2 linked regions of the Lonchura striata genome follow. The protein of the gene in region 2 interacts with the protein of the main gene of each other region in a biochemical or structural test. Links are inferred from orthologs where the notes say so. Each region holds a gene or a part of one and is shown on either strand. Other genes may lie near its edges.

Evidence for each region. The genes of interacting proteins can lie anywhere in the genome.
Region 1: the proteins of GLG1 (region 2) and SELE form a complex in vitro, tested with the Homo sapiens proteins (2 studies listed by BioGRID and IntAct). The link is inferred for Lonchura striata from reciprocal best matches to the Homo sapiens genes GLG1 and SELE.

The regions. Positions count from the first base shown.
Region 1 is NC_134611.1:1,047,171-1,057,151, reverse strand, and holds the start of SELE (E-selectin), read right to left. Parts: upstream 4,076-9,981; coding exon 4,039-4,075; intron 3,610-4,038; coding exon 3,223-3,609; intron 2,890-3,222; coding exon 2,782-2,889; intron 2,663-2,781; coding exon 2,477-2,662; intron 1,863-2,476; coding exon 1,677-1,862; intron 1,572-1,676; coding exon 1,386-1,571; intron 838-1,385; coding exon 652-837; intron 547-651; coding exon 361-546; intron 1-360. UniProt on the Homo sapiens protein: Cell-surface glycoprotein having a role in immunoadhesion. Mediates in the adhesion of blood neutrophils in cytokine-activated endothelium through interaction with SELPLG/PSGL1. May have a role in capillary morphogenesis.
Region 2 is NC_134615.1:15,916,050-15,926,319, forward strand, and holds the start of GLG1 (Golgi apparatus protein 1), read left to right. Parts: upstream 1-5,820; 5' UTR 5,821-5,829; coding exon 5,830-6,141; intron 6,142-10,270. UniProt on the Homo sapiens protein: Binds fibroblast growth factor and E-selectin (cell-adhesion lectin on endothelial cells mediating the binding of neutrophils).

The DNA of each region.
Region 1 (9,981 bases), on a different chromosome or scaffold from region 2:
CTGTAGAGCAGCGAAGAATGCAAGAAAAAAAAAGCAAGAAGTTCCAAGCAAACAAATAGTGAAATTTCTCTATATTTTTCCACATTTTGCATCCATATAAATTTTTGGCAAAAGAACACAATTGGAACAACTAAGGACTTTCCTGTCTTTGGCCCAATTTTTTGCACTAGTAGATGTACAATTTATTTTCAAATTCATTGGACTTTGGGATGGGAGCTGCTCAGAGTCATGTGCAGGCATTCCGAGGCACAGTAGAAAACATGGGAGCACAGCATTTAGTTTGGAGCCAGGGCCCTGTAGAAATATGGATTTCTGTGTGTTCTCCAGTGACCAGAAAACTGCAATTTCCAACAGTCTTACCTTTGCATTTGGGCACTGGCTCGGACCACTGTCCCTGTGCCGTGCACTCAGTGCTGGGCGAGCCCTCCAGGACATATCCCTCATCGCACTGGAAATCACAGCGTGAGCCAGAGGTGAGCTCTGCGGGAGCGTGGTCACAGCTCACAGAGCCTTCTGCTGGCCGCGGGACAGCCTCACACCTCACAGCTGCAGCACAAGGAGCACGACAGCGATCAGCACAGGGGCTTCGGGACAGCACCAGGCACTGCTGGCAGCCCTGAGGGCTCAGGTGAGCAGGGATAAGGGAATTACCTGCACACGTTGGCTGCTGCCTGTCCCAGGCCCCTGAGGAGCCACATTGCAGTGTGGCTGGTCCTGTCAGGGTAAATCCTTCCTCACAGGTGAACTCACAGGTGGTTCCCCAGGTGAGCTGCACGGAGGGATGGGAGCAGTTCACAGCCCCGTGGATGGGCATTTCCAAGGCAGGACAGGTCACAGCTGAAAGGCACAAGGGACAGCACAGAGCTTAGCTTGGAGTAGGTCAGGATAAACACTCTTCTAGGAGCTGGCAAGGAGACATGCCCTGCCTGGAGCTGTCCCTGACAGAGCCATCATACCTCCCTTCAGACCTAGCAGTGCAGAAACAGTGATTTCAGCAGGTTGCACAGTGCAGCCAGAACCCCTAAATATGCAACCAAAGCATACAAGTCATCCTGGGAATGGCTACACATTAATTTCCACCCTGGACTGCATAAACTGACACTTGCTCCCATTTGGGGTTTAGGGTATAAAGAATCCCTGCCAGAGCACTCCAGTGTCAAAGTGTGCTACTGTGTGTGATAGAGGCACTGCCCCAGAGTGTTATCATCCTGCACTGCTGTTTCCTCACTACTACACAAGGCTAAATGACCCCCACCTTAAGATCTGCTTATGAAAAGCGCTACCAATGTGGTGGGGATGAATGCTACTCTGATTACATTTGATTGAGAAAGTCTGTTCAGATTCTTCCAGCTTTAATCGATGGTTTCCAGCCCTGCAAGTCTTACCTTTGCATTTGGGCACTGGCTCGGACCACTGTCCCTGTGCCGTGCACTCAGTGCTGGGCGAGCCCTCCAGGACATATCCCTCATCGCACTGGAAATCACAGCGTGAGCCAGAGGTGAGCTCTGCAGGAGCGTGGTCACAGCTCACAGAGCCTTCTGCTGGCCGCGGGACAGCCTCACACCTCACAGCTGCAGCACAAGGAGCACGACAGCGATCAGCACAGGGGCTTTGGGACAGCACCAGGCACTGCTGGCAGCCCTGAGGGCTCAGGTGAGCAGGGATAAGGGAATTACCTGCACACGTTGGCTGCTGCCTGTCCCAGGCCCCTGAGGAGCCACATTGCAGTGTGGCTGGTCCTGTCAGGGTAAATCCTTCCTCACAGGTGAACTCACAGGTGGCTCCCCAGGTGAGCTGCACGGAGGGATGGGAGCAGTTCACAGCCCCGTGGATGGGCATTTCCAAGGCAGGACAGGTCACAGCTGAAAGGCACAAGGGACAGCACAGAGCTTAGCTTGCAACAAACCATTAAAAGTATTTTTATTTTTCTGAAACTTAGGAACACATCCAGTAAACAGGAGCAGCTGTAGAAAGGGTTCTACTATGCCACCATCTCAGAAATCAGATAGAAGGGGAAACATTTTTAAAGGGAAACTGTCTCTTCAGACATGATGGTTAATTCATCTGCAGCTCATGACAGCAACTACTTACAATCCAAAATTTCCCTATTTTGACTGTTGCCGGGTGACCTTTGATGCTTTCATTTGCTTAGAAAAGTATCTCATTCTAAGCTAAACACCTCAGAAAATTATTCGTACAGTCAGGAGTAACTGGCCTGTTGAGAGCTGTCTCACACCTAGGTCATCTCAATTCCCTGTTTCTACCTAAGAGTTGGAAAAATCTTTCCCTGCAAGAACAATGCCAGAACATTCATCCTACTCATCTCACCTCCTCAGAAACAGAGACCTGTGTGCTGAAATAAAACAGCACCTACACCACATAATGTGTTACAAAGGAATTGGCCAAACTTCCATTTGTTCCTGCTGCCAGAGCAGCACTGAGGTGTACAGGGCCATGTGCAATGCAGAAAGCTCACCTTTGCATGCTGCAAGGGGGGCAGACCAGATCCCAGAAGAGGTACAGTGGACAGATTCCAGTGCAGTCAGCTCATAGCCCTCCTCACACTGAACTGTGCAGGACGAGTTGTAGCTGAAGTCCCCCAGTGGATGGTGGCACTCAAGGCTCCCATGATCAGGTTTCTTTAGTGGATCACAACTCTTAACTTCAAAGAAGCACAAGAAGGTACACAGTCAGTCTCCTTAGCTGAGCAGGTAAACCAAGAAGCTAAATTGAACACTAGGTAGCGTGAGTTGGTCAAAAAGCAGGATGACATAATCTTACCAAACTCGCATTCAGGCCCATAGAAGCCAGGGTCGCAATGGCAGGTGTGGTTGTTGATAGTCTCTATGCATTCTCCATGGCCACTGCAGAGAGATGGGTTGCAAGAAGCTGGAAAAAAAAAAAACAAAACAGGCAAATTATGAAAGAAGCAACAACAGCCACTAAGAAAACCTGGCTAGCACTTTATCTTTCTGACACTAAACGACCCTTTGTATAGCAAAAGAAAATCAGAGGGTTTGGTATTTAGGATTCTCCTGTCATTTCACAGAATTTCTGAAGTGCACATGTTTTACAGACTAGCTCACAGTAAAAGGATTCTGTTGGCTGGGAACTCCAAGACCACTTGTTCTGGGGTAAATATTAGATGAAGTTAAAAAACTCATCCCAGCCACCACCTAAGATCCCCAGGGTCACGCTGGAGTGACTTTTGTCATGCTGTACCTGTGTAGCACAAGGCAACCTTCTTTTTCTCACACTGCTCATCATTCCATTTGCCATCATCCTTCCCTCTTTTGATGTAGATCTCAACGCAGTCCTCGTTGTTCCCTTTGCCATTTGGCTCCCCTGAAGCCCAGTTTCTTGCTTCTTCTGTCAGTTCTTTGTTAGTTCCAGTCCAGGTCCATACGCCATTAATTTTTCTGATTCCAATCCAATAGTAACCCGGATTGAAGGGTAAGAAGGCATTGAGGTGCTTGATTTCCTCCTTGTTCTGGATTGCAACCAGGTTAGTATACTTCTTTCTGCACCACTGCTCTGCTTCCCTGTAGGTCATGTTTTTGTCTGAATAATGGTATGTCCACCCTTTCACGCCCTGCAGCACTGTAAGTCCTAGAATAAGAAAATATCCAAAAGTTGGTGTCTGACTTCTCCCCTCATCTCTCTCTAGAAGAGGACATTTAAGCTCTATAAATACTGCAAACTTGTCAGTATCTGAAAATGCATAAAAACTACTGGTAATTATTTTATAAACAATCACCTGGCAAGCTTCAAACCAGGCAAGTCAGCTTCAAGTACAGGACTTCAGCCTGTGAAACTATGTCTGATCACACAAAGCTTTGAGACTTATAGGAGCCAATTATGGCTTTGACAGGCAAGCAGGGAAAACGTGCCACTGCATCCAGAGGTTCTTCTGTGTGAACATAGCCTCAGGTTAATTACGGCAGGTTCCAAAATTCTCTTTGATGCTGAGCTCAAACAAAACAGTCACACTAATATTGCCATCCCACTAGTTTTTCATACAGAGAAATACACACTTACCATAGGTAAGAAGAGATAGGAACTTCAAGCAAATCATGTTTCTGAGAGTTTTCTCTGTCTTTTAAGCAGATGGCTATGAGAAATCAAAGAAACACATTTGTAAAAAACAAATAGTGAACTGTCAAAATTCCATATAAAGTACTGACCATGCAGTGATGGAGACTTTAAAAGCACTTTATTCATGTTCCTGCATGCGCAGTGGAAATGAAGATGTTTGCAAACAGCAGGTATTCTACTTCCATGAAGCTCTGGAAAGTGATTCTGCCTTAGGGAAATGCACTGTGCAAGGAGGAATCATCTGGAGGAGTTTTAGGAACATGGGCTCCCCCAGATTTTTCAATAAGCAAAATTAACTCTGAAGAGCAGATTTTTCCTGAGCTTACACCTGAGGAAAGAAGTTTATGGTATGTACTTTTAAACAAGTAGGATTTCCACAAATTATTCATTTAAAAACAGTTTTTAATATCAAGATACTTTAAAATGTAAGCAGCTTTTATGGAAGATGAACACAGATTTCCAGTTCTCCTTTAGCTGGGCAGTGAAACAGAATAGCAGAGTTCATTTCTACTCACCTTTTGTAGCTGCAGTGTCCAGGTGACAGAATTCCTCTGCGCTGCTTCCCAGAGACTGTGGCTAAGTGGATGAACTCAGCCTTGAAAATCAAGTTCAGCTCCAAGTGTCTGGACTCTGTAATGCCCTGCCTTTTATCCCCTCAACTAGCCTGCCCTCCACGAGACGGGAAATTCCGTGTGGAAAAAAATTTCTTGGAAAATCCCAGGATCCAGCCCTCCCACACGTCAGGACGGATGTTTCCTCTTGCCAGATCAACCCTCCCAGAAAGACACACTGTGCTGACAGAGTGCCAAGTGCCACATTACACACTTTTACTGACAGAAACCCGCAATTCCAGGATATCAAGGAGGAGGAAGACAATTAGATTGAATTAAATGCATGAATAAGCAGATTCCAATATTTCACCTGGCATAATGTTTTGCAGTAAGGAGGCATCAGTTCTTCAGGTATCTCGGTAGGAAAGGCGCCAACACTCAAAGCTGGTTGACCAAGTTGGACCAAAATTGGAAACTTCAGCACAGGACAAGCCCTTCCTTATGGATCTCAGCTGTGCAGAGCTCTCACTTGTGGTCAGGTTGCTGGAGTTCTTCACAATACAGGTTCATCAGTCACTTGTAGCAGTCAAGCTTGAAACGTGGACCTTGCTTTGAAGAGTCCCTTGGACCATATTCTTCAATGTCCTGATCTCAATAGAGTTACAGCACCTGAACAGGTGCATATAATATTTCAAGTGGACAAGACAATACACTAGGAATTAATTCACATTTATTGTGTATACCCTGATTAATTATACTGCTGCATAAAACTTCACCATTATGGATGGGATTTTATGAGGCTGAATATGCAAAGAACTCAACAAGTACTGGCAGCACTTCACATCTGTAAAGCATAGTTTGAGTTTATACAGTGCATGTTGGAGCTCTGATTTTGGAGCCTCAGCCTGTTCTTACAGAATAAAAATCATTGGCTTCTGTATTCCAAGCTAACATCAACTGGTATTGCCCAATTTTACTGCCCAAAAAAGAAAGAACTGTCAAGTAGCCAAAGATCTCTGCCCATCAAAGAAATTATTTCAGAAAAGAGCATGGAATAAAGAGTATATTCTAAAACAGCCTCAGTTGCTAACAAATCAGGAGAGCTGACTAGAAATTGCAACAAAGTCTAAGAAAGCAAGTCAGCTACTGAAGAGAGTGAGGATTAAAAACACACACTGAGTATTTGTAGGCAGAGGAACAGTTTCTAGCATGTGTGAACTAGCAAAGCTAGAAACACAAATCATGAAACTCTGGAAAGCTGAAGTTAGCTTTTGGCTGGCCTGGGCAAGCCTTGCTTAGAAGCACCAGACATCCTGAGGCATCAGATCAGGGCTGCTGTTTATTTAGCCTCAAACTGGGAATGAAAACTCTTCCTGTTTGCCAGCCCTTCTCTGGTAGGGGGCTTTACCACCTGAAGGACACAGACAGAAACTTGTATTTTAATGCACCTGTCCAGCACATGATGCAGCAGAGCCTAATTTCAACATTATTCTACTACAAACTAATGTTAATCAGTCTCAATAAGGCAGGGGTTTTTGTAGTGTTGTGGGGTTTTTTTGGTTTTTTTTTTTGTTTTTGTTTTTGGTTTTTTTTTTTTTTTTGTTGTTGTTTGGTTTTTTTTTTTGTGTTGTTTTGTTTTGTGTGTTTTGGTTTGGTTTGGTTTGGTTTTCTAAAATATTGATCAGCTGTTATAACTCTATGCACAGAAAATTTACAGAAAATTTTAGGACAGTTTTTATGCTCCCAGGTGCCAAGAGGCAGAAAATGCTACACCTTTTCCTGAAGATTCCCTTTTGAAAGTCATTTAATGAACTTCCTACTGGTAAGCACTCATCCTTGTCATGGCAGAAGCTCTGAAAAAAGCTCTGAGGAGACTTCATCAGAATTCATTTGCCAATGGAATCTCCGGAGGAAGGAAGAGCTTATTTCACAGTTTACAGTAGTCTTCCTTTTCAGGAGCTGTCTGAGACCTCTTGTCTCCAGCAGATAAAGCAAGCCCCACAAAAAATAACAACACACCAAAGCCTACAAGCAATATGCTTGTAAAAATTCCAGCCTAAAAAAAGACTGTTTCTTTTTGTTGGCTGTATTCCCTTGTGCATAATTGCCATGGGGCTCTTTTTGGTTTTTCCCAGGGAATTCTGCTATTCACTGATTATATTCTTATTTCCCTGTAATGTACTGGAAGATGGAGGCAAAATTTTCAGGAAAAAAGAAAGCCTGAAAATCATTCTCAAAACTCCACAATAAAGGTTAAATCCTCTTTATTAAAAGTCAAAGGCACTTAAAAACTTCAGGGGGACTGGGATTCCTATGAGCTAAAGCTCATCTTGGATGCTAAACTACATATATATTTCAGGAAAAGTACCTGTGATACAGTTACTTAGGTGGAACTGGAGATAATCAAGCTAAAATGCCATGCAGCATGAGCTTAACTGCTTTCTGTGTTACTTATTTATTCTCGTCTCAAAGCTATTTCACATTCATGCTTTTTTATTCTTTTTCCAATTGATTTGGGAATGTAAGATCCTCATTTCTTATGCGGTACAGAGCTGGATGAAGTTGCTGCTCTCTTCTTATATTACATGAGCACAGACATAGTTTCTTAAATTTAATACAATTCCTCTCTGCCAGGAAAACAGGAGACTCTAAAGACAAGTTTTTAGAAATGCTGAACACTTCTTGTTCCTATACACTCCAGAATTTCATTTGCACAAGTGAAGGCCCAGCTTTTTACAGGGAAATCCCCACATCACCTCTTTTCCCTTACAAACAGAGGTGCACTGACAATTATGTAGCCACAACTAATTTTCCAGTTGGAAGGTTCACTTAAGAGGCCACTATGAGACACAAAGGATAAGAAAGGGCTATATAAACATATTAGGAAGAAAAACAATAAAAATCCAGCCAGGTCTGCCATTTAAAGGGCAGCAATTGACAGAGGACATGTCAAATGTTGTTTCTTTTTATATAAAGGAAAGTTAATATTCATGGCAATAGTGTGGGAAAAGAGAACAGGTCACATTATGGAGTGAAGACCATTTAGGTTGGTTACAACCAATCAAGCAACAGTCAAAAGATCCAAACCCTCAGTAATTAACTTTGAGAATATGAGCAAAAAGGTGTAAAAAGTTGGACAAAAAGCAAATGTTGCCTCTCTGTATCTCAGAAAAGAAGATCAAGGTAATTAGAAGCTGAGCCTTCCACGTGAGCACCTAGAAAAGACACTAGAACATTGAAAAATGTTAAAGAAAACCACTGAAAAACCAGCAGAAGGCTGCTAAGCTGTCGAGAACAGCGGACATTGATATGATTGATCTGTTCCTGGCAGATCAACCTGGCTTGTGCCTCAAGGCTGTGTCAGTAATAAAGAAACAATAGTGCAGTGTGGTTCGTTATAATTAAGATTTTTAATACCATCCCATGAGACATTCTTATGAGGAAACAAGTGAAACAATGCTTAGCTGAAATCACCATAAAATGAGCACACAAGGGATGGAATCACTACTCAAAAGGCAGATTTTCAAAGAACCCTGTCTGTCCTAGAGAACTGTTTTATTCCCACCCCACTGTAAGAAAAGGGTGCTGGAGAAAAGAAAACTTTACAATCTTCTAAAACCCAAAATGTGTTTTAGAGAACTTAGGAGGCACATGATCAACAAAGTTCTACTTGGTACATAACAAGTAGCAGTGGATTGATTTGTAGCGACAAAGTTTTAATTGAAAGTTTTCCAAAGAGGCCACGAATTGCTAAGACAGGGGTTTTGTAGAGTCTGCCTCTCTGTTGGAAATTTGTAAGTTTTGGTTTGAGAAACTTTTTTTTCAGTATCTCTATCAGTATCTCAATACTTTATCTGAAACTCTGTTGAACTTGAAGAAATCACAAATCCAAGACAAATACAGAATGTGGTGAGATCCCAGGTGAACAGAGTATATAGATGTACATTTGTACATGTAGAAAAAGACAGATATTAATTTCCCATGTCTTTTTAAAAGACTGGTTCTTCATCTACAAGATTGCATCTGCATTTATGTATCAACAGACAAAAACAGAGCTTTAAGAGCCTCTGAGTAATCCAGTTCCTTCTCCTAGAAGATATTTTTGTCATTCCTAAATTAAAACACTTGATAAGTATTTATCTCAAAGTGCTTTGTATAATGGATATTTATCCCATGGCAAAGAGTCATAGAACCACTTGAAATTTTGAAACAGTGGAAAAACCTCCAGCTTCGCCCACAGTAATACTAGGAGAGGAAAAGTAAGAGATTTAGCCAGCCTGGAGGGGGAAAAGGAGTTCTAGTGCCAGTAGGGAAGGTGTTTCCTGTTAGGAGAGGAGCTTGCAACACTTAATTCTTTAGTAATTAAGAGACAAAGGGTTTAAGGCACAAGTTTTCCCTGAGGTCCAGATGGGAAGAAAAGATAATTTCTGAAAACCGTACTCATCCCTCAGCCTCTGTGTCTGATTAAGTATGAATAAAGCAAGCACTGCAACAGTTACAAAGACGCTGGAATTTCTCAAGGCTGCCTAAGGCAGTCTCCACTCTGTCTGGAGTGGAACCCAGGAGTCAGAAAATCTTATCTCCACTTCTCATTTCGGGAATTCTGATGTGACTCATAGTGCTCAATTTCCTCCAAACAGGCAAAAATACACATTGGAGAATCTAACCTGAGGCTGGGGGTCACTTGCACTGGCCAGGTGTGATTCAGAGCATTGAAACATGAAACAAGAGCCAAGGAGTAATAGAAGCAACAACTCACACCTCGAGATAAGATAAAAGCAGGAATGGCCTTAACACTACCTGCAGCTGCAGGTGGAACTGATCCCATGCAGAACTTGATTCTTTCTAACTCCATTGTTGGAAATTGTGGCAGAGAAGCTCTTGGTGCCTTGTCACCCTTCATGTACACATAGAAAGAATAAATATATATGATGCATGCGTAGACTGTTCATTTATGTCCAGCTCTGTTCCACAGCCCCATGGTCTCAGCAGGGGAGATGTCCCAGAAGTGACAATGACAGGAGATGCTGGCTCTGAGGAACAGAACAGGTACAGCTTTTGGCAAATTGGGAGGAGTGAGAACAAGTTTTGGGATTAGGAGATTAAGTAGGTGGTTGAGACTGTAAAAGTGGTCATCATGAGATGCAGTTTTGGTTTTGTGGATTCTTTGCATAGCTTCTGCCTAGCTGTGTTCCATGAAAATATTGTGTTGACTTATCAGAGAGCATGTGAGCTTATCAGCAGTTTATCGTGGTTGACATGACCCACCAGTCTTCATTTGCTGTATCAGGAGGAAGAGGCTACAAAAAAAGGAGATACAGCAGCTTCACTTCCT
Region 2 (10,270 bases):
GCTTGCTTGGCAACAATCCAGCCCCTGCTGCTCCCTGCAGAGGTTTGTTGGAGGTGGCTGGAGTTGGACAGCTGTGCTTTTGGAGAAGAGCTGTCCTCCACATCTCCCTCTAAAAGGGATAATCTAGTGTTAAACTGGTGATCCATAGGGCAAGGAAGTAGCCAGCTCCAAGGCTCCACATCAAAGAACTTTGCTGCCATAGCACCTACCCTGGTGCTTTAGCTTTTGAAGAGACTGGTGAGATTTTGACAAATAGTCAAAAATGTTACAGATGAGAAAAGGTCATCTGCAAAGCATGAGCCTAGAAACAAGCACAGCTTGGTGTGTGCATGTGTGCACCAGGCAGGACAGGCCAGTGCTTTTCTCTGCTCTGTCTGTACCGGCTGCTTCCTGGAGGGCAAAAAAGGAGCTACTTTGTGTTCCAAATCAAATTGGATTAAACTCAGACAATATAGCAAGTGAAACAAGCAGCTTAAACTGAACTTTGTTACACTGAGGTAGCCAGAGCATCCCAGTGGGAGTTCATTTAGTTCTTTTCTATTTGTGAGGAGACGTGACAAGATTTTCTTCTTATGTACATTTTCAGATTTTCTACCAAGGCAGTAAATTCCTTAAAAGACTCGCCTCTCTGCTGGTTTTGAAAGGGAGAATATACGGGGAAAAAACAGTTCAGCTGTCTTGCAGAGTCACCTGGAAAATTGAGCAGAGTGGGTCACAATGCCTCAGCAACAGGACTGCCCTCAGCTGAGCTGCTCTTGTGCCCTGTGAGCACTCAGGCATGTTGATGTCAGCAGCCTCCCTCACTTATGATAACGATATTTATCATTGTTTATTTGCTTTTATGATAAAGATATTTAGACATACTGCTGAGGAGGCAGAAATGCCTCCTGCTGACATTACTTCTCTTTACTGAAGGAGGTGGCTGTGCTCAGATGGCAGCCAGAGCTGTGGGTGCCCTGGTGTTACAGAGCGCTGCATTCTATGGGCCTGTGGGAAACTGTCCTGCGGTGCATCAGGCACAGTGGCACCAGCCAAGCGAGGGATGGGATTGTTCTGCTCTGCTGCAGCCTCAGCCTGAGTCCTGTGTGCAGCTTTGCTCACTGCAATATAAAAGAGCTATTAAGCTGTTAGAGAGTGTCCAAAGGAGGGTAAGGAACATGGTGAAGGGCCTTGAGGAAAAACCATATGAGGAGTGGTTGAGGTCACTTGGTCTGTTCAGCCTGGAGAAGACTGGGGGGAAAACCTCACTGCAGTTGCAACTTCCTCATCAGGGGAACAGAAGGGGCACTGATCTCTACTAACTGCGGTGATCAGTGACAGGACCCATGTGAATGGCCTGAAGTTCTTTTGGGAGAGGTTTAGATTGGATGTCAGGAAGATTCTTCACCCAGATAGTGATTGGGCACTGGAACAGGCTGCCCAAGAAAGTGGTTCCATCACCAACAGTGGCAGAGTTCAAGAAGCATTTGGCAATGGTCTCGGGCACATAGTGTGCTCTAGGGGATGGTCCTGTGTAGGCCTCAGACTTGAACTTGATGATTCTTGTGGGTCACTTCCAACTCAGCATATTCTGTGAAAATAGTGCCTCTAAGTGCAAAAGAAAAAGGAATTTGGGAACCTATGTCCTAGAAGGCTTATCCTTGAGACAAACTTTACAGGTAACACGCTCTCTCCAGCATGTGCTGGTCAAGAGTAAAGAAATGTCTCAAACTAATTTCAGTAATTATCCCACCCTGTGAAGCGTAATTAATTTGAGGGTCCAGGGGCTTTAGTTTTGCATCAAGTCCAATTTGGTACTTCTACTAGTGGTAGAGATCACAGAATAGGGAGTGAGTCCCTTTTGCTTCTGATGGTGTCAAGCTGGCAGCAGCACTGAGTGCCTGGGAAAGCATAAGTGGAATTGGGAAAGAACTGTGGCAGATTGGAGGAGGGCTGGAAAATTGCCCATATCTTTTTTTGCTAATGGTAGGTGCTAACTGCAAGACAGATCCACATCAGTATTGGGGGCAACAGTCTCTGCAGTTTTGGCCTGGGGCTTCTGATGGTTTGTGAGGCAAAGATGTGTCAAAAGCATCACTCTCTGGGGAAAAACAGGTCATATTAGGCCAAAACTTTGTGCCTGAGAGGCACAAAACTCCCCTTGCACTCAACACTCACAGGGTTGTAGCTGAAATATTGTCTCCTCTTTGTCCACAGCTTCCTTGGAAGGTGAGTATTTCCATAGTCTTCTGCTTATTTCCAAGTGTGGATGAGCAGCAGAACTGTAGGTCTCTGACCTACAAGAAAACCTGAAACAGTGAGGCTGAACCTGTGTATGTCACACAAATAAACAATGAAATACCAGACTAGGGTTGTTGCCTTAGCCAGTAATGAATAGTACTGAATGTCAGCTCACCTTGGCTCTCTGCAGCAGGATTTGTTGGTGGAGAGGATTGACCACTGGGAAAGGCAGTGCTGAAGTTTTAGGGATGCAGAGCTATGGAGGGAGGCAGCTGAGCCAGGCTGCACAAAAGGGAGAGGGCCTCAGGGCACTGTGTGGAGGCTAAGCTGGAATTCCAAACTGACATATAGGAGCAAGCAGTCTGTATCCAATTAAAAATTTGAGCAGCTCCTTTGCATGGACTGAGAAAGAACTTTTGTTGTCTCTGAAGTGGTGATCTGGAGAGCAAGGACACTGCTGGGAAGGAACAAGAGGTGTCCCAGCAGCTCAGCTCACTCTGGCCTTGCTGTGCAAAGCTGGGGGCCATATAAATGGGGTTTATTATTTAAGGTGATGAGACTGAAAAGTGCTGTCCACTCCAAAAGCAGGGGACTGCAAGCTCATAATGCAACACCCAGAGCATGAAAGCCTTGCTGCTAAAATGCTTAAAATGAGGCAAAAAGGGAATTTCTGCTAAAGGAGAGGGGCTGTAGTTGCAAGGAGCTGCTAGCTGGTTATCACACAGGCAGAGATGTTGCTGTCCCCAAAGAAAAACCTCCTCCTTGTTTAACTCACTGTGTGGACATGGTAAGCATAGGGCTCTCTTATGAAATGCCTGTTTAACAGTGATCAACACAGGATTAGTAAAATCTTAGTAAATCCTTAGTAAAATCTGAGGTTGGGAAAAGGTGTTCCCTGAGGAAAAAATTAGTCTCTGGAGGTCTCCGAAAGGTGGAAAGAAGTGAGCTGTAACCCAGCTCCACTGCTCTGTTCTGTCTTCATCCTGTGAGGGATGAAGGAGCAGAGCCAGCTCTTGCACTGGGCTAACTCTTCAAATAATTCTCACTAAACCAAATAGGCTGCCAAGCATGGGCTGGATTTTGCTGGCTTTTGTTTTCAAGTGTTCCCAGCTGCACAGCCCCTGGGTGCCAGCACAAAGCCACTTTCCCAAACGCTGTGTCCCAGTGTGACATTCAAACACAAGAAGCATGGAGACTTTGCTCCTCCCTCTCCTGCCCTTGCCTTCACCTGGATGACATGGCTGCAGTCAGTGGCCACACTGGGCTCAAGGTGCTGTGGTAGCTCCTGGATTGGGTGAGACAGTCAGAGGCATTCCCAAGAGAAAGGTTTCTTCCAGGCAGGATGAGGCAGCTTGGGGCAGGAAGGGAGCAACTCTACAGCTCTGCTTCACACCACCTCACTGAGCCAGGGCTGGAGCATCCTGGCATGCAGGCAAAAGCTTCTGACTTTGGCCTGATGCCAGCTTGTGCTGGGAAAACTGCTCCTGGAGTCGACAAGGAGGGGAATTGAGGGGGGATTCACCCTGTATCCCATATCCTTCTGCTGTTGGAAGCAAATCTGAGATTTGGGGGCAAACCCATCCTAGGAGGGTGCAGTGAGATCCTGGCAGGACATCTGAAAATTTGATTGCTGAGCTGGTGATGGACTTGTGTCCCACTGCTGACACTGCCCCAACACTTGGACAGGTATTTTTTGATGGTGAAATTGTGGGTCTGGCTGGCTGCTCGGGCAGAGTGGGCTGCAGCATTCCCAAAACACAGCTCTGAAGGGGCTGTGTGGCTGCAAATACTGCTTTTAGATGATCCATCACCAAATTCAGCATCCAATCTCCAGTTATTGCTCTAGGAAGAACCTGTGGATCCCATCTACAATGGGATCAGCCATTGTAGACCCTGTTTTGGAGACCTGATCACACCTACAGCCTATTTCCCTCCATTCCCATGGACAAAGCCCAGAGCCACTATGGAGTGTGACATGCCAAATCCCAGCCCCCAAAACAATGCCGGGCACTGACAGTGCAGGAGGTGCAGCCAACCCACCAACCTCAAAAACGAGCTGTCTCATGGCACCGCCAAAATGTTTTTTTCTGCCCTTGGTCAGCTCTCTGCTCCCTGCAGCTACCTCAGGGCTGGGCCAGGCTCTTGGATTTATCCCGTCCCCTCCAGCCAGCCCTACATCCTGCCCCAGGAGGGGCCAGGAGTGCACCCATATATAGGCAGAAGATCAATCCAGCTGATAATTTGGCACTCAGCATGGAGAAATGACAGCAGGAAAGTTGAATGTCAGCATTTATTAAAGATTTGGGGTGTTTTTAGCAGCCAGCCAATTTTTTGTCTTAGTTCTTACGTAGTTTCCCTCTGCACTTCCGTATTTTTTCTTCATTCTTTAGTATTTTTTCTTTGGCTTCCTCTTTTTCTTTGTTCTTCTCCATTTCTTCTCGGATTGCCTCTATTTTGTCTCTGATGCTCTGTAATTTTTTGTCGAGATCGTGTACTTTTTCTTTGTCATTACGTGTTTTTATTTCATTCTCTATTTTTACTTCATTCTTCAGTATTTTTTCTGCATGCTTTTTTAATCTGTTTTGCTGTATTTTTTCTTTGTTCTTATGTATTTTATCTTTGAGATCCTGTATTTTTTCTTTGTTTGTCCACATTTTTGTTACATACCCTTTTTGTACTTCATTGTTCTTTTTTTCCTCTTCGATATCCTCTAATCGTTCTGTCTTCATCTGTATTTTCATTTCGTTCTTCCGTATATTTTCCTTGATCCTCTCTATTTTTACTTTGTACTCCTGTATTTTTATTTCATTCTTCTGTATTTTTTCTTTGATCTCTTGCATTTCTTCTTCAGTGTTCTTAATTTTTGCTTTGATCGCCTGCATTTTCTCTTCATTCTTCTGTAATTCTTGTTTGTATTTCTGTATTTGTTCATCCTTGTCCAGACTTGGCTCATCAACCAGCTCCCTAGAACTGTCATCAGACACTTTCGCAAAGGTCAGTTTCCCCATTACGTCTCCCGCCTCCTCAGTCGCTGGGCAGCCGAAGCGCGAGTGGGAAATGAGATTTCGGGCAAAATCTGCAGCTACTGGACACCTGCTGAGGGAGGCGCTGGCCCGGCTGCCGCCTTCCCGGGGGGCTGAGCACGCCCGGGCTCGGCTCCTGGCGCCCCGGCACCGCCGCTGGCTCGGCCGTGTCGCCCCGCGTGGCTGTGGGGTGGCGGAGGCCGCTGAGGCGATCCGGGAGCCGTTGCGGGGCTGCGGGAACCGTTGAGGGGGCTGCGGGGCGGCTGAAGGGCTGCGGGGCAGCTGAGGGGTGGTGGGGTCCCCTGAAAGGCTGCGGGGCCGCTGAGGACGTGCTGGAGCCCTGAGGGGCGGCGAGGGCCGTCGGGCCCGGGGAGCCGCGGGGACCCCGGGGTGGCGCCTCGTCCTCCTGAGGCGACAACGGCCGAGGCGGCGCCGCCGCGCGTGCTGCGGGAGGGGCCACAACCGACCACGCCCCCTAGCGGGAAAGGGGCGCGTCCCGCTGGGGCGACGTCACGGGCGCGCTAATTTGCATACGCCGTGCGTGCCGCGGGGTGGGCGGGCGGACGCCGGAGGTGGCGGATCCAAGATGGCGCCGTGCGGACGTGTCCGGAGCCGCTGCCCGGGCCCGGCGCTGCTCCTGCTGCTGGCGCTGGCGGCGCGGCCGGCGGCGCCCAGCGCTCCTGCCGCTCTTTCCGGCCCCGGCGGTGCTCCGCCCGCAGCGGGGCAGCCGGTGGGGCCGGGCGCGGCTGCCCCGCGAAGTGCCCGCGGCGGCGGGTCGGGCAGCGGGTGGAAGCTGTCGGAGGAGGCGGTGTGCCGGGAGGACGTGGTGCGGCTCTGCTCCAAGCACAGCTGGGCCAACAACCTCGCCGTGCTCGAGTGCCTGCAGGATGTCCGCGAGGTGAGGGTCGGGCCCGGGGCCGGGCCGGGCCTGCCCGCGGCGGCGAACAAAGAGCCGGGTCCGCGCCCCGCCGCGCCGCCGCCCCGCGTATCCCTCATGGCTTGTGTTTTAAAAATCGGAGTTTGCGCTGCGGAGCTCCGTGAGGGGGAGCGAGCTGCCTGCGGGGTGGCCGTAAGGGCTCCGGCGAGCAGCTCCTCTTCATCCGCACCTCGGGGCTCGGCGCTGCCGCCCGCGCAGCGCCCTGCGGGCAGGGAGAGCTCTCGGGGATGGCTTTGTGCTCCGGCTCCGGTGCTTGCGGGGTTCTTCTTTTCTGGAGGTCTGGGAGAGCCCAGCCTGCCTAGTGCTGAGTGAAGGCGCCGTGCTCATAGCAGCAGTGACCTGAGATGTTTTTTTCACGTTCAGGCTCCCACCTTCGCCACGAACTCGGCTGCAGAGGCGGCTGCTTTCCAGTCCTCGGTTGTGCATGTATGAAACTCGATATATAATCGTTGGATTTAGCTGACTTTATGGGGAGGTTAACAGGACAGTCTGTGTTGTTCCCATACACCTGTCGTGAGCAGTTTTAACTCCAGTTCAAGAAAAAACTGAGTTGCCTCCTCCGAGTCTTCCAGCTCCATCTTTTCATTCATTCCTGGGCTCGTTTTGAAGCAGCCTTTGGGGACGTGCCTTTAGTGAGCTGTCCTGCCTAGTCTCGAGGTCTATATATTCTTGGCTTCTCTGCTGTAGAGTCCGGGAATGCCAGACTGGGTCAATTTTATTGGTGTTTTGCCCAATAGGGAATGCGATTAGGAAAAACCTGGGCTTGTTTTTCATCCATTTTTATGGGGACAGCAGATGGCAGTGGCAATGGGTACTCTAATCAAAGGGAGTCTTGAACCAGTAAGTGTCAGTGATTACTTCTGGCTTAAAATGCAAAGCTAATTTAGATTTTAATCTAACTTCATGTTTTAATTTTGTGTGGGTAGTTAGTAAGACACTCGTGGTAGGTGTTTTAAATGAGTCTTGCTGCAAAATCTGTCACAGGTATGAAACATTCCACTATGTCCTTTATGAATAACTTGTCCCTTGCTGTTCCGTTCACCTGTCTGAGATCTTTTGGCCCCCTTTTTGGGAGGCATCCTGTCTGGGAGGATCTCGGAAGCTGACCTCACAGGCAGTGGCTCACAAGCTGCCAGCCTGCCAAAAAGGCAAGCTCTTGTTCCTTTCTTTCCAGTTGCATAGCCCCTCCCTACTCTTTTCACAGTTCCAGTGCTTGTTGGTTTTCTGCCATTTTAGCGAGGTGAACCCTTTTGTGGTCTAGTTTATTGGTTTTCTGCTGGAATAGTTTTGCCATTTTTCTGAGTTAAAGCACAGAGGGGGGCGAGTGCAGGGCTGGTACACAGGGCTGTGCAGGGAGAGGGATAAGATCAAATCAAAGGTGAAGGAATGTTTTGCATCACGCTTTATTTTCAGCAAGTACAAACCCTTATGTTAGCTCTGCATATCTCCTGAGAACTCCACTCTTTGAATGTTATGTCTGCTTGTGGTTTTCCCATTCCTAAGCCTACCTTGATGTCAGTAGTTTGCTGGCTCTTGATCTTGTCTAGCTGTAGTGTTGCCTGATGCTCATTGCTGAAGGTGAATTTTTTCCTGGGTGACATCCCAAGCATCGACAGAACATCTCAGGGCTCTTCTGGATTGAGTTTTGTTTCTCTGAAGGTGCCACTCTGGCCTTGCCCTTATTTGTCTGTCAGCTTGCAAAGAGCACTGTCAGCTGATCTTAACTCTCAACACTTTGCCCCCAGTAACACTGATGTGATGGGCTGCATCCTGACGTAAAAATGACTTCACAGGGTGCTGCTCCTAGAAATTAATTAAAATAGCTGACTTCTGTGTATCCCTACAGTTTAACACTTGATATTTAGACTGTGAATAAAGGTCTTGAGTTGTAAACATTGGGTAGCATTTCAGCTGCTTGGGAATGGGGTCAGATGTCGTCTCAGACATTTTCTTTGCATTGGAGATGACAGCAGAGGAAAGAAGTGACGTATTGTCTGTTATTGGTATAACTTCTACTTTTGACTCTAGAGCATCTGACCACTTGTTTGGACAATACCAGAAAAGTGACAATTACGTTTTAAAATGGGTGAGGATCTAGTCTGAGTCATACAGCCCACTTAAAACCAGTCAGGCTATAGTAAGTGGAGATTTGGGGGAGTTGTTTTGTGTGTGATGGTCTCAGTGTGGACAGTGTATGGACACTGCTGCAAGTAGCAGGTAAGATTTTTAGATGCAGTTAGGCTGCAGAAGTAGCCTTTTTTTCTCTAGGTGTTTAAGGTAATCTTACTTTTCTCATAAGAAATGTTTCTCTAAAGTGGAGAAAATTCTGTTTGAAACTGAGAGTGTTACTGTGAGGATTATCCATTGATTTTTCTTAGTGTGATACAAGTAGGCTAGGACACTTCTAAATATGAATAACCAGGAGAAACAACTACTTGAAACGTTCCTTTTGAGTCCATAAATTATAGAGAAAAGAGAAGGTGTGCTTGTTTCATTAGTCAGTGTGAATGCAATCACGTGGTTTCGGTATCTGCTGATTTCTGGGAGTGGATGTCTTTGAAGTACATCCTCCCTTGCTTTCATTGGGTAGTTCTGAATCTAAAGGAGCAGGAGCGTTGAGTCAGTGGTTGACTGGTACAGGAGCCAAACTTGTAAGGCAAATGTTGAAAGAAGCAATTTAACACAAATATTCAGTGAAAAACAGTCTGACACAAAAAAATTAGTAAAAAACCTCCAAACTCCACACCCAGAACTGCACAAATGAAAAACCCACCCAAACCAAACCCACAAATAAAAAATTTTAAAGTTTTGATTTTAAGAGGTTATTGGTAGGCTGTCAATTTAAAGTATTATTAAAAGAGTTATTTAAGCACACAAGAATTTTTAGAATTCTTGAAGAAAAAATAGTCAGATCCCCAGACTGGTAGCAAATACTTTTTACCACTGATTTTTCCACGGAGTCAATGACATGATTGCTTAATGTAGTGCAGAGTCCTCTTTCCTTTTGTAGTAGAAGGATGCTCCTTGATTGGAGAAGGAAGTGGTCATGGTCAGAGCTACTCATCTTAAACATTCTTTTACCATAATCAGAAGATAGAATAAACCCCATTTTTTTGGTGCATTTTGCAGATGACTTAACTTCTGTCTAGTTAGAAGTATTCATGCACTGGATATATTGCAGTTTTGAGTGACTTAAATTTTGTCATCAAAATTTTAATTATTATTCACATAATTCTATGTCACAATATAAAAAAGGGTTGAAAGGTGTAATGTATATGTATATTTTAAAAATTGTGTTCCAAAGTGCTTTTTTTCTGAAAGGATTCAGATTGCGAGCCTGTTTCTGGAAGGACTTTAGAGCTTGCATTTCACTGAACATAGGCTGCAGCCTTTAAGCCCTTTTTTTGTGGGTTGCCTGTTAAACTGATTTGCATAGTGGTTAAAATATAAATAAACCCATTAAACATTAATATATTTGCTAGGTAATGGTTTTTGCTTGATTAATGATAATTTGCATGTGAAGCATGACCAAGTTGTTGAATTTGAGGTGGGAAACATTAAAAGGGATGAAAATAATTTTATCCACTGTGGGTCTCTTATCTGGTTTACTGGTGGAGCATTTTACTTTCAGAACCTACATTACATGTGGTTAATTGGTGAGTGAATTTGATACCATAATTGTTGAGCATTGCCCTTATAAAGATTGTGCAATATTTATAGCATATTATTGTTCTGTATAATGTTAATGCATTAAAGGCTAAGTATTTTTTCCGAGATCAAACAGATGTGGTTAAGATGGGATTAGAGATCAAAGTTTTGGTCTCCTGCTACTTTCTTCATCCCGAGTGGTTCCATAAAGGTAACACCTTTATGGCAAAGACAGTGTAATTGAGCCTTAATGCTCTGCCTTCTGGAAAAAAATAGGACTCTCCTAGTGTTGCAGATTGGATTAAGAACAAAACAAGTTATCATGAAGGCTGTGTATTTCAATAATAATATTTTTCCTGTTATTTCAGTATTGCATTTGGTGTAAAAGGCCAGAAAATTCATTTGATGTGACTTAATGGGCTGGGGAGCGTGTACCATTTGA